Caenorhabditis elegans: one gene and its partners. The protein of the gene in region 2 purifies or fractionates together with the protein of the main gene of each other region. This does not show direct contact. Each region holds a gene or a part of one and is shown on either strand. Other genes may lie near its edges.

The links.
Region 1: the proteins of ZK1320.5 (region 2) and C18H7.4 fractionate together in Caenorhabditis elegans (co-fractionation; one large-scale study listed by BioGRID). This does not show direct contact.
Region 3: the proteins of ZK1320.5 (region 2) and nduf-11 fractionate together in Caenorhabditis elegans (co-fractionation; one large-scale study listed by BioGRID). This does not show direct contact.

The regions. Positions count from the first base shown.
Region 1 is NC_003282.8:590,856-596,365, forward strand, and holds C18H7.4 (Tyrosine-protein kinase), read left to right. Parts: upstream 1-2,473; 5' UTR 2,474-2,539; intron 2,540-2,585; 5' UTR 2,586-2,621; coding exon 2,622-2,644; intron 2,645-2,803; coding exon 2,804-3,496; intron 3,497-3,625; exon of another isoform or gene 3,626-3,775; intron 3,776-3,808; coding exon 3,809-4,076; intron 4,077-4,123; coding exon 4,124-4,312; 3' UTR 4,313-4,381; downstream 4,382-5,510. Other genes in the region: C18H7.6 (Aa_trans domain-containing protein), read right to left, coding at 31-497, 546-639, 1,155-1,247, 1,485-1,591; C18H7.7 (TransThyretin-Related family domain), read right to left, coding at 4,906-5,221, 5,301-5,446.
Region 2 is NC_003280.10:9,662,225-9,668,199, reverse strand, and holds ZK1320.5 (uncharacterized protein), read left to right. Parts: upstream 1-2,522; 5' UTR 2,523-2,535; coding exon 2,536-2,719; intron 2,720-3,211; coding exon 3,212-3,396; intron 3,397-3,457; coding exon 3,458-3,655; intron 3,656-3,799; coding exon 3,800-3,880; intron 3,881-3,932; coding exon 3,933-4,047; intron 4,048-4,102; coding exon 4,103-4,584; 3' UTR 4,585-4,654; downstream 4,655-5,975. Other genes in the region: ZK1320.11 (BTB domain-containing protein), read right to left, coding at 1-223, 269-407, 464-576; cyp-13A10 (Putative cytochrome P450 CYP13A10), read left to right, coding at 5,360-5,409, 5,453-5,920, 5,968-5,975.
Region 3 is NC_003280.10:11,342,103-11,347,950, reverse strand, and holds nduf-11 (Complex I-B14.7), read left to right. Parts: upstream 1-2,330; 5' UTR 2,331-2,335; coding exon 2,336-2,418; intron 2,419-2,498; coding exon 2,499-2,619; intron 2,620-2,669; coding exon 2,670-2,886; intron 2,887-2,945; coding exon 2,946-3,083; intron 3,084-3,140; coding exon 3,141-3,368; intron 3,369-3,886; coding exon 3,887-4,083; 3' UTR 4,084-4,230; downstream 4,231-5,848. Other genes in the region: B0491.6 (DNA helicase), read left to right, coding at 156-186, 229-1,152, 1,204-1,476, 1,524-1,598, 1,650-1,778, 1,830-1,897; lgc-20 (Neurotransmitter-gated ion-channel ligand-binding domain-containing protein), read left to right, coding at 4,421-4,520, 5,482-5,594, 5,645-5,725, 5,772-5,848.

The DNA of each region.
Region 1 (5,510 bases), on a different chromosome or scaffold from region 2:
AGTGTAGTTTTGCACAATCCATAAACTTACTAAAACGCAGAAGCCATATGTACCACAGCTCCAACGCATGCAATTGCAGACAAATACAAAATCGGGAAGAACCATGCGTGCTTGCAATCCTTCTGTACGTGGGCTAGCCTGAAGTAGACCATCCGGGGAATGTAGTAGAAAAACGAGACCATGATAAGACTTGAGGCAATTATTAACGGAATACTGTGCGTGTAGCTTTCATTCAAATCACCCGGTTCACGTGTGTCAAGAAGCTCACTCAGATCTGATAAGTCTAGTCCAGTTGACATATCGTCAAGGTCCGGAAGTGTACGATTTCGGTGGGATCCCCATGAACCCCAACGGGATGTGCTGTTGCTGATGCTAGAATCAGTCGAATTATCATTGTCTTTGAGAAAAGTGCCAGTGTGCTTCTGCAACATATCCGTAAGAATGTCGGTATGGTTTTGAAAATCTGTCGCGTTATGATCCTCGTTGAGTTGTTCTTTCTGCAAAATTGCACTCGGAATTGGCCCAATAATCATGAAGAAACTAACCACCAATTTCTTGATTTGAAGAGAATCCTCATTGGTTGCGTTTGGGTTCAGTCTTACTAGGTCTCCGGCTATGTTGGCCCACGCGTCTTTTGCTCTGAAATTACATTTTAAAGCGGTTTTTGGTTTTGAGTACGGTAGGGGTACTGTAGGACTACGGTAGGGGTACTGTAGGGGCGTTGTAAGGCTGTTGTTGGGCTATTGTAGGGGCATAGTGAAAATCGTTAGGGGTACTTTAGGGATACGGAGAGGGTACTATAGTAGTACAGTAGAGATATGGTTAGGGTACTGTAGAGGTACTGTAGAAGTACTGCCGTTGGGTGCTACTGGAATACTGCAGAGGAATAATGTAGGGGTACAAAAGGGTTAAGGTTGAGCTACAATAGGGATACGATTGGGGTACTGTAGGGGTACTGCAGTTGCAGTACTGTAGCGGTATTGTAGGGGTACTGTAGAGATGCCGTGAGGAGACTGTAGGGGTATTTTTTAAAATTAAGAGATCAAATCTGCTTTAAGAAAAAATCAAAATTTTAAGTATGACAGGTGGTTATTTTGTAATTGGTTCGGCAACCGATTACCGTAGACCTGTTTCAGAAAAAAAACTTGACTAACCCTTCAGTATCTTTATTTTTAGCTTTCTTCATCAAATTCGAAAAACTGTTTATCAATTTCAGCGAATCCTGAAGCTCCTTGGCCGAAATCTGTCTGGAAAATGAACGAATTTAAAAAAATTAGATTTTACTACTCTTGGTGAAACCCGCTTTTTATTCGGCCTAGATTTTCCTGTAATTTCTAGTGATTCTAGCTACACACGGGCGTAGCTAGAATCAGAATTTTCTAAAAGTCAGGGCAATACGGCTCAAATTATTTTTATAACTTTTTGAAATTTCTGTACGTAACAATGAACTATGTACATATTTTTTTAAAAAATCAGTGACTTACCCTCCTCCACCAGCTTGACCATGACCTCCTCCATGACCTCCTCCGAGTCCTCCAGCACCTCCGCCACCTCCAATTCCTTTCAAGCTTCCGAGGCTGCTGAGATCCATTTTTTCTTCAGGTTGACTCTCTGACGAAAAAAGTAGAAATGACGGAGTTGTCAACCTCACCAATCGGTCTTGTTGAAACCAGGTGCTTTTTTAATTTTTTTCTCAATTTTGCAGGTGAATTTTACGTTCACCTGCTCGTTTTCTCGCTAAAACAAATTAGAAATTGGCAGGGGATACTGTGGCGTGAACTGATCACATTTGAAATTTCACATGACATGAAATGTGTTTCTGTGGGCAGGAAAAAAATCGTTTGAAGTTTCAGGGAAAGTAGCGAATAAGGAAAAATGGAATTATCCAGTAAGAAAAATAAAAAAAAATGAATTATAGGGTGTATGTATTCCAAATATAATTACTCTATAATTGGTTTTTTATCGTTTTGTTCTCAAGTCAGAAGTACATTTAAACCGAATGATCGCGCATAAGGGAGCCTACATGCCTACATGCCTACATGCCTACATTCCTACATGTCTACGCAGTGAAGATCGAGTTTCTCGCAGCAGGAGTCAATTAGAACAAGTTGAAAGCAAAAATACTTTTTTAAAAAAGGCTTCTCAGACTGAAAGCTAAAAAATTCGTTTTGTTTGTTTTGTGCAATTTCAGAATTGCAATTCCAAAAAGAACCCGTGATTCAATGCCTGTTTTTCAGTAATTTCTTGGAATTTTTTATTCAAAACAAAAATTGTAATAAATCACCAAACTTTCCTGGAAGTTTTCGCAAAAATTTCGTGAAAGTTTTTATAAAAATAAAAATTTTAAATTTAAATTCAAGATAACTAAATCGTAAATAAATAAATAAATACATTTTAATCAAAAACGTGAAAACCTAACACGGGGGGGGGGGGGGCTATCGGAAAAAAAAATCAAATCGATTTGAAAATTTTCAAATCAGTTTTCAATATTCATTAGCCGAGAAACGTCTTTTCTAGTTCTCGGGAGGAAATACAAAAGGTTAGTTTATTTTTCCAATTTTTATCTGAATCATTTTGATTTTCAGAACAGTTCTCGTGTAAACAATTATCAAGAGTTCAACATGGCTCCTGCAAACAGAGAAAAGTGAGTTTGAAATATTCATGTAGGGCATGTAGGCATGTAGGCATGTAGGCATGTAGGCATGTAGGCATGTAGGCATAAGAAGCGATTAATAGGCGCCTCAGTCACGCCTCGACCGGGTGATTTCCAGCCAAATATCTATAATCTAGTCTTCATTTCCAGAATCGCCGATGAGGACCGAACCCTGCCGTACTTCCACGGAGCGCTTATGAATATAGACGCCGACCAGCTTCTAGTCAACGATGGAGATTTCATGGTGACCACTCGAATTGTGGCGGATCTCAACAAGCTTCAATTTCACTTGGCGGTCCGTTTGAAGAAGGGTATCCGTCGATATGAGATAAAAAGGAATCAAAACTCTGCAAAACTTGGGAATCGGAGTGCTTCAAACATCGGAAAGCTGATTGACTCACTGAAGGCCGAAACAATCGAGATAAAAGGGGAAAAGGTGATTTTGAAGCGGGCGATTGCGAAGGGAAAGTTCCAGCTGATGCATACCGATGTGAACTTCAAGAAGCAAATCGGGTCAGGAGCATACGGGACAGTTTATAGAGGACGTCTTGTTAAGACCAATGCAATTGTCGCTGTGAAAAAGCTGGATACGGAAGGAACAGACGAGGAAGGTCTGACGGATATGATGAAGGAAGCAAGAGTCATGCAGCTGTACGATCATCCGAATATTGTAAAGTTTTATGGGTACATTCTGGATGATGTTCCATATCTTTTGGTTCTGGAGTTTTGTAATGGAGGATCAGTGGAAGATTTGTTGAGGGACAAGCCAGAGATTAAAATCAATCGAAGAGTTCAATACACTTATATGGCGGCTTGTGGAATGGATTATCTGCATAAGAAAAAGTGGGTTTTTGGACTTTTAGGATTAATGCGTAGGCATGAAGGCATGTAGGCATGTAGGCATGTAGGCATGTAGGCATGTAGGCATGAAGGCGTGTAGGCATGTAGGCATGTAGGCATGTAGCCATGTAGCAATGCAGGCATGTAGCCATGTAGGCACGTAGGCAGGTATGCATGTAGGCATGTAGACATTTCATGTCATCAATTTAGGTTTCCAAGCTAAAACTCCTAAATCTTGGAATGTAGGCGTGTAGGCGTGCAGGCATGTAGGCATATAGGCAAGTAGACAAATCAATTTAAATTCTCAAATTTCAGCTGTATCCACCGGGACATCGCCTCCCGCAATTGCCTCATCCATAATGGTGTAGTGAAGATGGCGGATTTTGGAATGTGTCGCGCTACAGCCGTCTACAAAGTCGACCTTTCGAAACCTCTGAACGTTCGCTGGCTAGCTCCGGAGGTCTGGACCAACGGAGAGACTCGCTACAACACAGATGTCTACGCGTTTGGTGTCATGATTTGGGAGTTCTTCATCACCCCATACCAATCCCCCTACACCGAATGGAAAGGATATACTGTTAAGGTACTAAGCTTTCAAAAAAAAATCATTATCATTTTATCTTCTTTCAGCAAAAAGTTCGAGGTGGCTACCGGATGCAACCGCCGGAGGGCATGCCGAAAGACGTGGCATCTCTGCTTGCCGAGTGCTGGAACCACGATCCGGAGAAGAGACCGAACGCTGAGAAACTCAAGGAGAAGCTGGAGGATCTGAATCAGAAGTATGAAGCCGGAGAACCGAGTCTGCTGCAGGGTTGTTAGAAGAGCTCGGAGAAGTCTGCTGCCGTTTGAGAGCACTATGAGTCTTTGAATAAAATAGTTCGATCTAAACTTAATTTTTAGGCACAAGTAGGCATATACGCCTTGCGCCTAAATGACTACCTAACGTCTTTTATATACAGTTTCACATTAATTCCTGTATTTGATGCTGGGGCAGTTTGAGCTGAAAGCTTATAAACAAAAAGGCAAGCAGGTAGCCGCAATGAAGGCGTAGGCGACCATGAAGGCAGCATGCAGGCAGGATTTTGTGAGGCCATATAGGAGGGTCTACGTGGCTTTTTGTTTTACATTCGGCATTTTTAGTGCAGTATTGATATAAATTCCAGGCATGTTTGAGGAACGCCTGCCCTCGTACCTACTGTCCGCGTTAACTACGCAGGCTCAAGGTAGGCGCAGGCCACCTTGAATACAAAACCAAGTGCCTACAATTTGAAACCATCAACTGCATAGTTCGTAAGACAACATACATCGGAGTTATTGCCTAGGCCGTAGGTAGGCAAGTAGGCAGGCACGTTGGTAGACACATTCAACGCAAAGCAAATAAGCAATTTTATTATCAATAAACTATGGGGAATCTATGGGAAATCAGAAAATTGATCAATATTGTCATGAATAAAGTTCGCTGGCTCAATGTCTTCTTTTCCCCAGTGATTGGTGAGATCGGTGATGATACGGTAGTGGCACAGATGTCCAATTTCACAGAGACGTTTCACAGTCAATTGAAGATCCACTGGTTTCCGATCACTAGTACAATCATGACTTATAAGAGCTCTGGGCTTATATCCAGCCGAGAACATCTCATCGCCGTTCAAGGCTCCGTCTTGGGAGAAGCTTTGTCGGCCGGGTCCCAGAATGAGAATCTTCGGTTGGGAGAGCTGGTCTTGGCCGTTACTGAAAATTTATTTGTTGAATATGGATTTTCTGAAGGGCAATATCATGCAAGTTTCAAACAATTTTTCAAAAAACTCACAGACTATCCACCTCGACCCATTCGATTTTCAAGTTATAATCCTGAATATTATTCAGCTCGCAGAACACGGTGATATCGAATTGAAAATGATCCCAGGCACAAGAAAGGCCGATGGAGAAGAAGAGAAGGGTAATTCCACGAAGCATTTGTCTGAAAATCGAATTGAATTTTTAGGCTGAAAATTGAGCAAAAATTACCCAAAAAAGAAGA
Region 2 (5,975 bases):
CCTGCTTGCTGCTCAGTCCGAAACAAATGACCTCCATCAAACTGCTCTTTGCTTTGTTCGATTTGATAAGAATTCCAAAGTGCTTCAAAAAGAACTCCACCACGCAGATCGAAGCAGCTCCCCGCGCTTTTATTTCAAATTGATCAATGTCTGGTGGGCTCATGTTTGAAAACTCCCTCGCCTCCGTGATGAATTTTTCGAAGTTTTCTTCCTCGTGAGCAGCCTATAATTGAAACTTTTGTGAGGGAATTAATTAAGAAAAAATTACCTCGGTCTGCCAACCTTCTAAGTCGTCTATATGTACGCCGCTCTTGAAGATGCTGACCACTTCGTCTAATTTATCATTGGGAATCATGATTTCAATTCCATCAACAACAATCATTTTTTTTCGACATGTCTGCGGAACTCTGAAAAATGGAAATTATGATATTATCAAATTTTAAAACTGACTCATGAAACGTGCCTTTTCTTTGACATGATTAATATTATAATTGATAAATATTTAATATAAAACGGACAAATAGAAAAAGAAAGCACTATTTTCGAAAAATTCGCATTAAATAAATCAATGAGCATTTACGATAAACAAGGAGTGCTAGTGTTATTACAGAGTGTCGTATGTGCACTCCTCTCGGAATAACTCTGCGTATCTCACCCAGTCACAGTCTCTCGACACATCTGGTGAAACACATTCCTGCAGCTGTAGGAATCTGAAAAAACTGTGACTCTAATTAATCGAGAACCTGAAAATGTGTAAAATCCAAAACCGAGAACAAATTATAGACTTTAATGCTATTTCAGAAACACGATTTTCAGACATTTTTCTTCACGTGTACCACCTGCTCGGCGAGCTTAGACTTCCGGTTGACAGGAGTTCTTAATAAGATTTTTGATGTTTGATAAAACATAATAATGAAACGTTTAATTATGTCATTGAATTACTCACACTCGACATATCGTTTTCCCTAAAGGCGCACAGATCTTTGACAAATCACCAAAATGCATACCTATGCATCCACCTATACCACCTACCTACTACCAAATTGAACAAGAACATTCTTTTTAAATATAAGTCTACACTGATAGTGAGCCAGAAAATCACATGAATAGACGTATGCAAAAGCTTATGGCGTAAGAAAGACAAATGAGACTTAGGAAAGGGGAAGGTCTGCCTACCTTCCTGCTGATAGATTTAGATTAGGGTCATCTGCTTTGACAACTGTAACTTTTATCACATGGTATATCCTTTCCTTATAGCATCTGCCAAATTGATTCGGCTTGCTAGTTCTGTCAGAAAACCTCATCCATTACTCACATTTTTTCACAGCTCTTCATTTTTACGTCGTCATTAGGCAGGCTCGTCTGTCTATTCTTACTTCGCATCTAACCAATTACCGCTCTGTGCCCTTGAGAGCAACTTGAAAGAAACGCAGAGAAGCACGGGCTTGACAACACGCTCAAATCTCACACATAGTTTTGTCTATGCAGCAGTCACCCTCCCATGCATGTATATATCAAACCACCCATTATCACTTTTTGACCATCAGATGTTTCAATTCTTGCATTGTTTTATTCTTGAGTTGAACAATCTGACCCAAGGTTCCGTGTCTCCATGTGAGCATGGCAACCAAAGTAAATCAGCACTTTTACACCTGCCTACAATCACTTTCGATTAGCCTTCACTGTCGATAGACGGGGAAATGACGAGTGAATCAAAGAGTTGTTCTTATATCAACTAGAGAAAGTTTCTCCATTTTTGTATAATCCTTGAATTCTAGACTCGAGCCCACCTTTTTGAACCTTTGAGCCAGACGAAATGGCAATATTTACAAAATCTCATAAGTCTCATCGTTGTGTCGAAGTTTTATTCTGGAAATTTATACAGAAATATATAAAACTATTTATTTGTGCTTTATAAAGATATCTCACTTCTTATTAATAGATTTAAAAAAGCGGCTCAAAAGCTGACTCTAAGGTGCTATAGGCACATAGCGATTTTAATAGTAGATTTTGGCCAAATTTTTGAAATTTTTGATAAAAAGTAACTATTATTTCTTTATATTTCTGTATAAATTTCCGAGAAAAAACTTCGACACAGCATATTCTCATTTAAAAGTTCCCTAAAATAGTGCTCATCAATGTGCATCGATTTATCTATGTATATACCTTCTTGTTATACATCTCATTATATTCAGAGAACATAACGCTAATAAATAACAATCTACGTATCGCCAACTCGATTTCCTGTGGGACTTGATTGTTTTCATGTTTTTCTTCATTTTTGGGCCCACATCAAATTCCTTCTTCTACTCTCAATATACCTATCATACACAGTTTATATAACTAAAAAAAGTAGTCTGTGAATAGAAAACTATTATATAAAACTAGGCAGGTGATTTTTGAGAGGTTTTAATTTAGGTTTCTCTATGTTACAAAGACACACATATCCTCCCCCTCCAAATTCAATTATTTTTTCCTTTCTTTTCTTCTCACTTCTGCATATTTTTCTTTCATTTAATCAGCATTCCAGGCGCCATGGTTCTTGAAATTGTGTTTTTTACCTCGTGTCTGATCCTTTCGGTTGTCGGAGTTTACCTCAATCTGTGCTACCTCAGAGCCACACATCGATCTACGGTCTATCCAAAGTTTACCGGAAATAATTTACGGTTTTTGTCCGTTGCTCATATTGTGCTGGCTTGTTCAAATGTTGTGGCCGCTGGTGAGTTTATATAGGCACAAAATGAAGACCCACTTGCCTACAGAAATGGGATTTCTTGCTCGAGTATAACTGTAAACGATATCTTTTTGTCAAACTTTAGCCCAAAAAATCTTCACTTGTATCAAAACTTTGGCAAGTTCAGGAAGTGTAATGCAATTAGTCCAAGTTAGATCCAACTCTTGCCAATGTAGTCCGAGGTTTGGCAAAAGTTAGATTATACTTGAGACGTGTCCTTTACTAACCTCAACTTTTGTCAAAATTTTGCCAAAGATAAAGCCGTGTTAATATTTTTTGGCAAAACCTATCTAGTAAGACAAGAAGCTGGCTCACAACGCCGAGTTGGTCACGCACTTGTCGTAGGTACACAATTATATGTATGCACACTTGTTTGCTATGTGCATTTCACAATTTTGATGATAATACGGATATATTTTGATCTTTAAACCTTGAAACTAATATTTCTGATTATTTTTCTAAAATAAACCTTTCCAGCTGCAATGTGGGGTGCCAACGTGAATCGCACGACAAAATCCGAAGCCTTCTTCTCGACAACTCTATCAGTCAGCCGTGCTATTCCAGCACTCACTGTGTTTTGGACAACTGTTGAACGGATAACGTACAATCGGAGTCCAACGATTCGAGAAAGTCCCAAGTTTCGATATGTGGCAGTTTTCCGGGTGGGTATCAATATTTTTATTACAATAAATATTAAATACAAATACTAAATACCTTTTATAGGTCATCGAAGTAGTGGTCTCCGTAATTATGGAGATGATTATTCGAGGAATCTATTTGAATAGTGATGATCAACTCAAAGAAGCTGCTGGACTTGAAGTTCTTCAATCTTCAAATGATGAAATTTCAATCAAAAGTTCACTCATCGCGAATGTATACTACGACTTCTATCACGGAATATTGTTTTTGCCATGTATTATAGTAAGTATCCTGTTTTGGCTAGTTTATATATTCAACAGAAAATAAAAATCCTATGTTTAGTTCCCTTAGAAAAAGTCTCACGCATGTGACGCAATTTCAACAAAACTTAAATAAACATATTATAATTATTATTTTGAATTTCAGATCTCGGTTCTCATGTTCAAATCGGCAAAAGGTTCTCACACTCGTGCCTGCCTACTCGGTGGAATGAGAAATGACCAGAAAGTGAGTTTTTTGAGGATTTATATTCTAGTTTTACATTTGACATCAATTTTAGATCCAAAATCTCAGTGGACAAATGACGTTTTTCAAAAATTCCTACATCATGCTGTACATCGCTTGTTTGGCCGACTTCATCTTGCATGTAATTGTCAAGAGATTTATAAATCTAGGTGAGTTTAATATGAAATAAAGATCAGAATAGTCTGAAAACTAAACTTCTTTCAGAAGATTCCACGCTTGATATGATGTACATCAATGCTCGATGCTTTCTTCCAATTGTTTACCCATTATCACTAATCGCTAACAACAAAAATCTCCGAATCGACTATTTCGGAAACTTCATTCTCTGTCGAAAAGCCAGAAATCTGCATAAAGAGTCCAAAGTCAAGGTCATTGCAACACGAGAATCACAAGAATCCATCATTGCCAACTTGAAAATGATCGGAATTCTCAGTGACGTGGATACCTCTCAGGGTGGCGCTGGTGCTGCAAGCCTCGCAATGATGGGAATGGGCGGAGGAGGTGCTCCAAGACCTCCCAGTGGAGGTCGAATGGCTTCTATATCCAAAGATCCTAATTCAATTACGTCTTCCGGAAGTCTAGCTAAGCAAAGTACAGCTTCAATGGGCAGTGGTGGAGCTTCGGGTATGATGATGTTCCACACGAGGCCTAAAAGTTCGGTACCATCGATGGGATCTGTTGGGTGATCAACATATAGATACTATGTATTTTAATTATTCGTTCATCGGCAATTCTAATAAATGTTATCTTTTTGAGTTTAAGTTTTTCCTGTCTATACATTCCTGTACCATATGATAGTGAGACATGTCTATATAAATGTCTGACTAGATCTCGTGAATGAATAACAAAAAGTTGGTTATTGGCCATCTATCATAACAAAATAGCAAAGTTAATCAAATAATTGAAACAGATCAGAGCACAATTTGTGTTAAATATCAACAGCAGGGTTAGGTAAAACTTTCGGGTTAGGAATACATTAATATCTAGTCATTTCAACCACATTTTTATATACATATGAAAGTACGTTTGAAAATTTGCTGACTTATTGTAAGATGTGCTTGTTATTTTATCAAAAATACTTGATTTTTTCTGGTTTCCACTAGATTTGACTTTCTTGCGCAATATGACACAAAGCCTTGCCCACAAAAATGCCTGGCAATGTTACTTCCAGAGTTGCTAAACTAAATTAAGTTAATCGGTGATTTCTTCAAATCTGCAGACCAAACTCCAGAAACTGGCTACAGGATAGACTAGAGTTAGTGGTCTTGATATCATCATTGTAATCCAATTACTCACTGATTCTGCGCAAGGAGTCACAAAATCGTCGAGACGGAGACACAAAAAGTGTGTCAGATAGTTGCCGTTTTTGTGTCCGATTTCTTGTAAATATAAAAACAAATTTTATTTTTGGAAATATTTGTTTAAAATATACAGACTTCGTTTACAAGAAAATACAACTAAATGAGTGTTATTTTACTTGCTATTCCAACTTTGTTCATTGGTTTTATCAGGTATTTTTTATTTATTTCTCAAAGCTAAATATATTTATTTAAGTTACTACCTCTGGATATGGACATATTGGAGACGGCGTGGTATCCCTGGACCTCTAGGTTATCCATTAGTTGGAAGTTTTCCAAAAACTCTCAAATCAGAATATCCTCAATACTTACAAATCAGAGATTGGACAAAACTTTATGGTCCAATATATGGATACACTGAAGGAACCATTAAAACTCTAATTGTTTCTGATATCGACATTGTTCGTCAAATTTTTGTTGAGCAGTATGACAACTTCTATGGTAGAAAACTGAATCCAATTCAAGGTGATCCGGAAAAAGACGAGAGAACTAACTTGTTCTCGGCTCAAGGATTTAGATGGAAAAGGCTCAGAGCTATATCTAGTCCTACTTTTTCGAATAACAGTTTGAGAAAAATCAATGTAACTGTGGAAGACAGTGCGATGGAATTATTGAGACATATTGAAGAACAAACTTCGGAGGGACAACAAATTGATATGTTACAGTGAGTTTTCGATGTATTGGAAAAGTAATTTAAATTTTAAATTACAGATTCTACC
Region 3 (5,848 bases), 1.7 Mb from region 2:
CTCATGTTCGTTTCGATTTTTGCGCCACATTCGACTTCATTTTTCGTTTTCCAAAACTTCTTTCAAAACAACTTTTTCGCATTAATTTGTTGTCTTCCTCACTCTTTTGAATTCAAAAACGAAAATTTTAAACCACCGATTGCAATTGTTACGAGATGCAAAAACCCGACGAATCGAATGAAAAACGTAAGAACAATTCAAATTATATTTTAAAATAATTATTATTAGTTTCAGATGATATTCCTTGCACATCAGCAAGCCTTCTCGACCATTTGATTCAGAAGGAAGCTTCTGCAGCAGAGGACACTGATCCCTTGGATCATATTGGCAATATAGGAGAAGCTATCATTGGACAATTTTCGTCTGGAGCAGATGTTGGAACCGAAATTCTACAAAATGCTCTCAAAATGTTCGATCAAGCAATGGCCTACACGAATCCACAGGCTCCACCAAAACGAAAATATAAACGAAAAGAAGCTCCGATAGAGGATGCTCAACCTACCACGACTTCATCAGCTACGCTAGCTTCCTTGCTCACTCTCAATCCGGTTCCAATTGAATCTAGTGCGAAAAGATTCCATCAAAATGATCTACGAGCTGGTTTTTCGCCACGTACCAAGTTCGACGTGGATTGTTCGGATTTCTTTCTTCTACAAGGATCTGATGCTGACACTCAATTCAATAATCTCCACAAGAAGCTCGAGAAGGAGAGAACGCAGATGTTTGATGATCAAGTTTCGAAAGATGTTGAACGACTTCTAAATACCGCAAACAGAGTTCACGGTCCCCGAGAATGGACTGCCGAGGAGAAAGCCGAATTCACTTCATACTGTAGAAGCTGGCGCAGTGGAGCATTAGGGGCCGATGACAAGCTGAATCTTCAGAAATTTTATTCAAAAGCGTACGGAAAAGTTTTCCAAGGACTGAGCGAAAATAAAGCTTCATCGGAGGAATCAGCTATCGATTTTTCTAATTTCATGGGTGTCGGTAGTGAAGATCCTGCTAATCAAACAGAAGACGTACCAGGTGGAAGCTGCAAGGCTTCTCCCGACAATTTCTCATTCTCTACTTTGAATCCAAGAATGAAATACGAGAAAGAGAAAGAATTTCGGTCCGCTATCAATAATATATTCACGGAAGTTTTCAAAGAATGTAAGTGAATATTGTAAAAGTTTTTATTCAAACAAAATTCTTTATTTTCAGTTCACTCAAAGAAGCAATTCATTCCCAAACCAACTCGCCTGGACGTTCCGCCGTGCGAAATCGAGCGGGAGCATTTATCAATGCTGATGTCAAAGTTCAGTATAGCTATGGACGATCCAGAAAAGGAATGGAATGTTGATGAGCTTCAGGAACTGCGTCGATTCTATACATTATTTCGAGAAAAAAATCATTTGCCATTCGTTCAAACTAAGGAATTCGGAAAATTTCTGCGTAAAGCATTTGGAAGACTAGAGCATTATGAGCTTCAACGAGGTTTTGCAATTAATTTATGGAACTTATATGATTGTTAGTTATTTCAGAAAATGACACTTCTCTTCAAGAAAAACGAAAATTTTGGCAAGAATACAGGAAAACGCATGTACCACCGAAAAGAGGTGATTTCTAAAATAAATTTTCACATTTTATCCCAATTTCGTACATTTCAGAGCGAAAAGCGTGCGCGGCTAGAACCACACCAGTAAGACCTTATATAAAATCGAATATTGATACAAAAGGAGAAACTGAAGAAGAGAGAAGATTGCGGAGAGCTGCGTATCTTCGAAAGTGGAGGCTAGGTAATATAACATTTTTGTAATAATACATTTAACAAATTATCGATTTTTCAGCTCAAAAAGAGAAGCATTCAGCAGACGTCATGTCACAGTTCAAGCACCAGGAAGATGTCGCCTTGTGATTTCTTTGTTTAATATTAATCAACTTTTTGTTCGCATCTCAGGAAATGTTCTTTGAAAAATAATTTGTTAGATAAAATTTATTTTAATCCGAATAAATATTTTATAATCTTTTTACTTATAGTTAATACAAAATTATAAACTCTAAGAGCTTTCAAAAAGCAAAAACCGCAAAATTAAATGCAAAAAGAAATTACAAATAAATCGTTTTTGAAAATCCGCGCAAGGACGAAGTATGCGCTAACATATGATTGTTGGCGCGTTTCTCATTCCTTGCGCGTTTCCCGTCTCGGCCGATTAATTTTTCAGTGTATTTTTTTCTGTTTTTGTTTATTTTATCCGCATTTGAATACATATTTTTGGCTTATCTTCTTTGGAATTTTTTGAAAGTATCTATGAACAATTTTTTATTGTTATTTATCAATCGATTTTCAGGTAAAATGGGCCACGGAGAAGAACCATTGACCGCCACGTATAAAACGCAGAGACCTCCATGGATCGGTCTTTGGAGTGATCGTGAATAGTAAGCTTTATTCTTTTTCTACTTTTGAAATTAAATCTAATTCAATAAAATATTTTAAAATGGTAAAATTTGTAATTCAGCAAGGGACGTGCCGACTGGTGGAAGGAGCCAGGACTTGAAGACTCTGTCACGCGTTCTGGAAAACTTCGTCTTTATCGTGCTCGTTTCCGTGAGGAAGATCCAGATTGGTATGATCCAAAGGTACAGTTAATTTATTTTGAGTGATATTCGCTAATTTTTTGCGTTTTCAGGTAAAAGACGGAGAATCCCTGGCCGGACCTTTCGGACTCGATTCCAAGAAGACCAAAAATCTCACCAAAAAAGGAGATCAGCCAGGAGAGCTGTCCGAATTCCAGAACAAAGTTTACGAAGGATCCCACCAGTTTAAGGCTATCGCTGAAAAGTTTGGAATCAGCAAAGAGCATCCAGGACTATCCGTTAGTCCAACCTTGAGCGATAATATGCTAAGTGAGGAATAATTAAAATTTTATTATAAGTATCCTGCTACAAAACTTTTTTATTTCCAGCTCCAAAGGACGAGTTAGGCAGAAACGCCGTGTTGCCAAACTCTTGGTATCCTGCCGGACCCCGTTTCTTCGACAGTCCACTCAATGAGGGATCTTTCTGGAAAGGACTTGCCGCCGCCAAGTATGCTGGAATTTTGTGTAAGACTAGATTAAGATTTAAAAAATGTTCACGATAATCATAAAACATAATTTCAGTGGCTCCATACACTATGCTGGAAATCCGTGCACTCAATACAGTCTCGGTATCCGAATTCTCGCCAAGAACCTATATGAAGAGATACCTCCAACTCGCTCCATTCCCATTGGCCGTTGCATTCGCCTGGGGCTTCAGTCTTTCAGCAGCCTCATCGATCCGTCATAAGGATGATGTCCATAATCATTGGTTCGCTAGTGTTGCTGTTGGATCAACCGTGGCTACCATGAGTATGTTTTGTTAAAAATTGTAAGCCAATTTGGCGAAATGATCAAAAAACGTGGTTTTCAGAGCGTAGAAAAAAATTTTAATTCTATTTAAATGATTTCTTATGTGTTTTCATCAGATTTTCTGTTAAATTCGAAGAAAATCACATGGAAAAAATTTAAAACAGAAACTAATATATTTTCGTAATTTTCCAAAATAGAAAAAAATCAATTCAAAAAATTATCTTTCATGGTAGCAGCCACATTATCATTGTATCTCATAATCAATTAGTTCTGATTCTGTCCGAAAAAATATTTTGTTCGAAATATTTTAATAAAAATTAGTCTGAAAATAATAAAAATTCGGCTTAAAATATGAATATTTATTTTTAAAATTTAACAAAATTCTCTGTAAATCTGGCAAAACTTGTACATTTTTATTTTTTAACAAATAAAAAATCTAGACACAAAATCAAAATCTGATTGTCCTGGTTAATTCCTGAAAAATTTAATTTTTCGTTTCAAAACCACTATTTTTCCAGAGAGCAACGTTGCCCTTGGAACCACTGCCGCCATCTTCACCGCCATCCTCGGAGCATTCTGGCAGTATCAACGACACTCGGAGACTGGACTCCAAGGAATGACTGCTCATCCACAATCTGCCGGAATCTGGGGAGGACCACTTCTTTGGCAGAAGATGCAACTTGGAAATGCCGATGTTCCGACCACACGATACTGATTGGATTTTTGAATTTTTTCTAGCTTCGATTCTACAATCATGTATAAGATTTTTAGTTTTCGAGAAAGAAGCATATAGCACTCAAACTTTAATTTTTTTTTTCTTCTTTTCTGCTCTTTTCCGAATAAAATCAGCGGTCATAGCATGAAAATAGTGTCTGTGAGTCGAGACACCGGGGGAACAACAACACAACGAATCGATTGTTTCACACGCTGGCTCCCCACCCCGCTCCGTTGTCCTGGTAACAACAAGAAGCGGGCGGTTCTTAAGAAGGGATACGCGTAGCAGCACACATACATACAAACTCGCATAACTTATTCCCTCTTGCTGGTCAAAAATGTCGTTTCTTGTGCTCTTTGGAGCACTTCTTCTCATTCAGACTTCTGAGCAGATGGTTCAATGCAGGTACACGAAGAATTTGACAAATCGAGCAGATGGTGAGTTTGGAAATTCCGAAATACTTTTTTTTTAATGGTTTTGGAAGGAATAACGTTGCCCACGTAACTCTCGGAAGTGAAAATTCAAATTAAAAAAATTTGCGAATTCTTTTCTTTTTTTGCATTTTGAAAACTGCGAAATTTAGCGATTATTATCGCAAAAATACGATACCCGGTCTCATCACGACAAATTTGTGTTAAATGCAGAAAAGGTGTGCGCCTTCAAAGAGTACTGTAGTACTGTAGTTTCAAACTTTCGTTTCTGCGCAATATTAATCGACTTTTGATAGAATTTCGATACTTAAAAATGCACTTTTTTATTAAATAAATTTCAAAATCTAGAGAAAATCTATGAAAAATCCGGCAGTAGCAAGAGTTTGAAGTTACAGTACTCTTTAAAGGCGCGCACCTTTTCTCAATTAACACAAATTTGCCGTGTCAAGACCGGGTACCGTATAGTTTTCTTACAATTAATTGAAAAACTGAAATAAAATACATGACTTTTTTTTTAACCCATGAATAACACAAGAAAACAATGAAGAACTTCGGTATTCTTTAAAGGTGCACATTTCTTAGAATTTTTGAAAATCGTTCGTTTCGAGACCCTCAACCGTACTTTTGGGCAAGCTTCCATCGAACCAAGGAATTACATTTCAAATTTATTTGGAGATCACGATCATTTTCTGTTTACGCATGACTGAGCGCTTTGACTCATTAGTTTTGACGGCTAAAAGTTGATATGTTGATCTTTATATTACGCAGACGTCGGAAGATGATCATTTTTTCCATATTTTTGGGTCTCGCCACGCTGAAAACAAATTACAGTAACTCGGGCCAGGGGCCAAGGGCCGCTTTTGCATGTCATTCTAATTAGAACGTGCGTGGCCGAGTTTCTCTTTTCGCGGGCACCTGGAAAATTTTTTTGGGTGGTCTCACAGCATAACCCAAATCTTTGTTTTAGGAGGAGATGAGCACTGTCTATTCTACTATCTTCTCAACAAGGAATACGAGAAATCTGGCAGCGTACACTCACTAAGCGCATATCCTCCAAATTCCGACGAAATGACGATTACTGTAATTATGATTTTCAGAGGAGACTGAAGTTTAAATATTTATATTTTCAGATAGAAAATGTGCTTGTCAAATACGTGGAATTGGTGAAAGGATCTAGTTATCAATTCAACGTTTTTGGAGATATTTATCTGGTAGATGGGATGACAAAAGTGGGAAATTAAATGCAAAAATTTGCAGAACTGGAAAGATGAGCGTATGAAGTGGGATAAGAAAGGCGAATTCGAGAACTATGAACACTTGTACATTTTCAATTC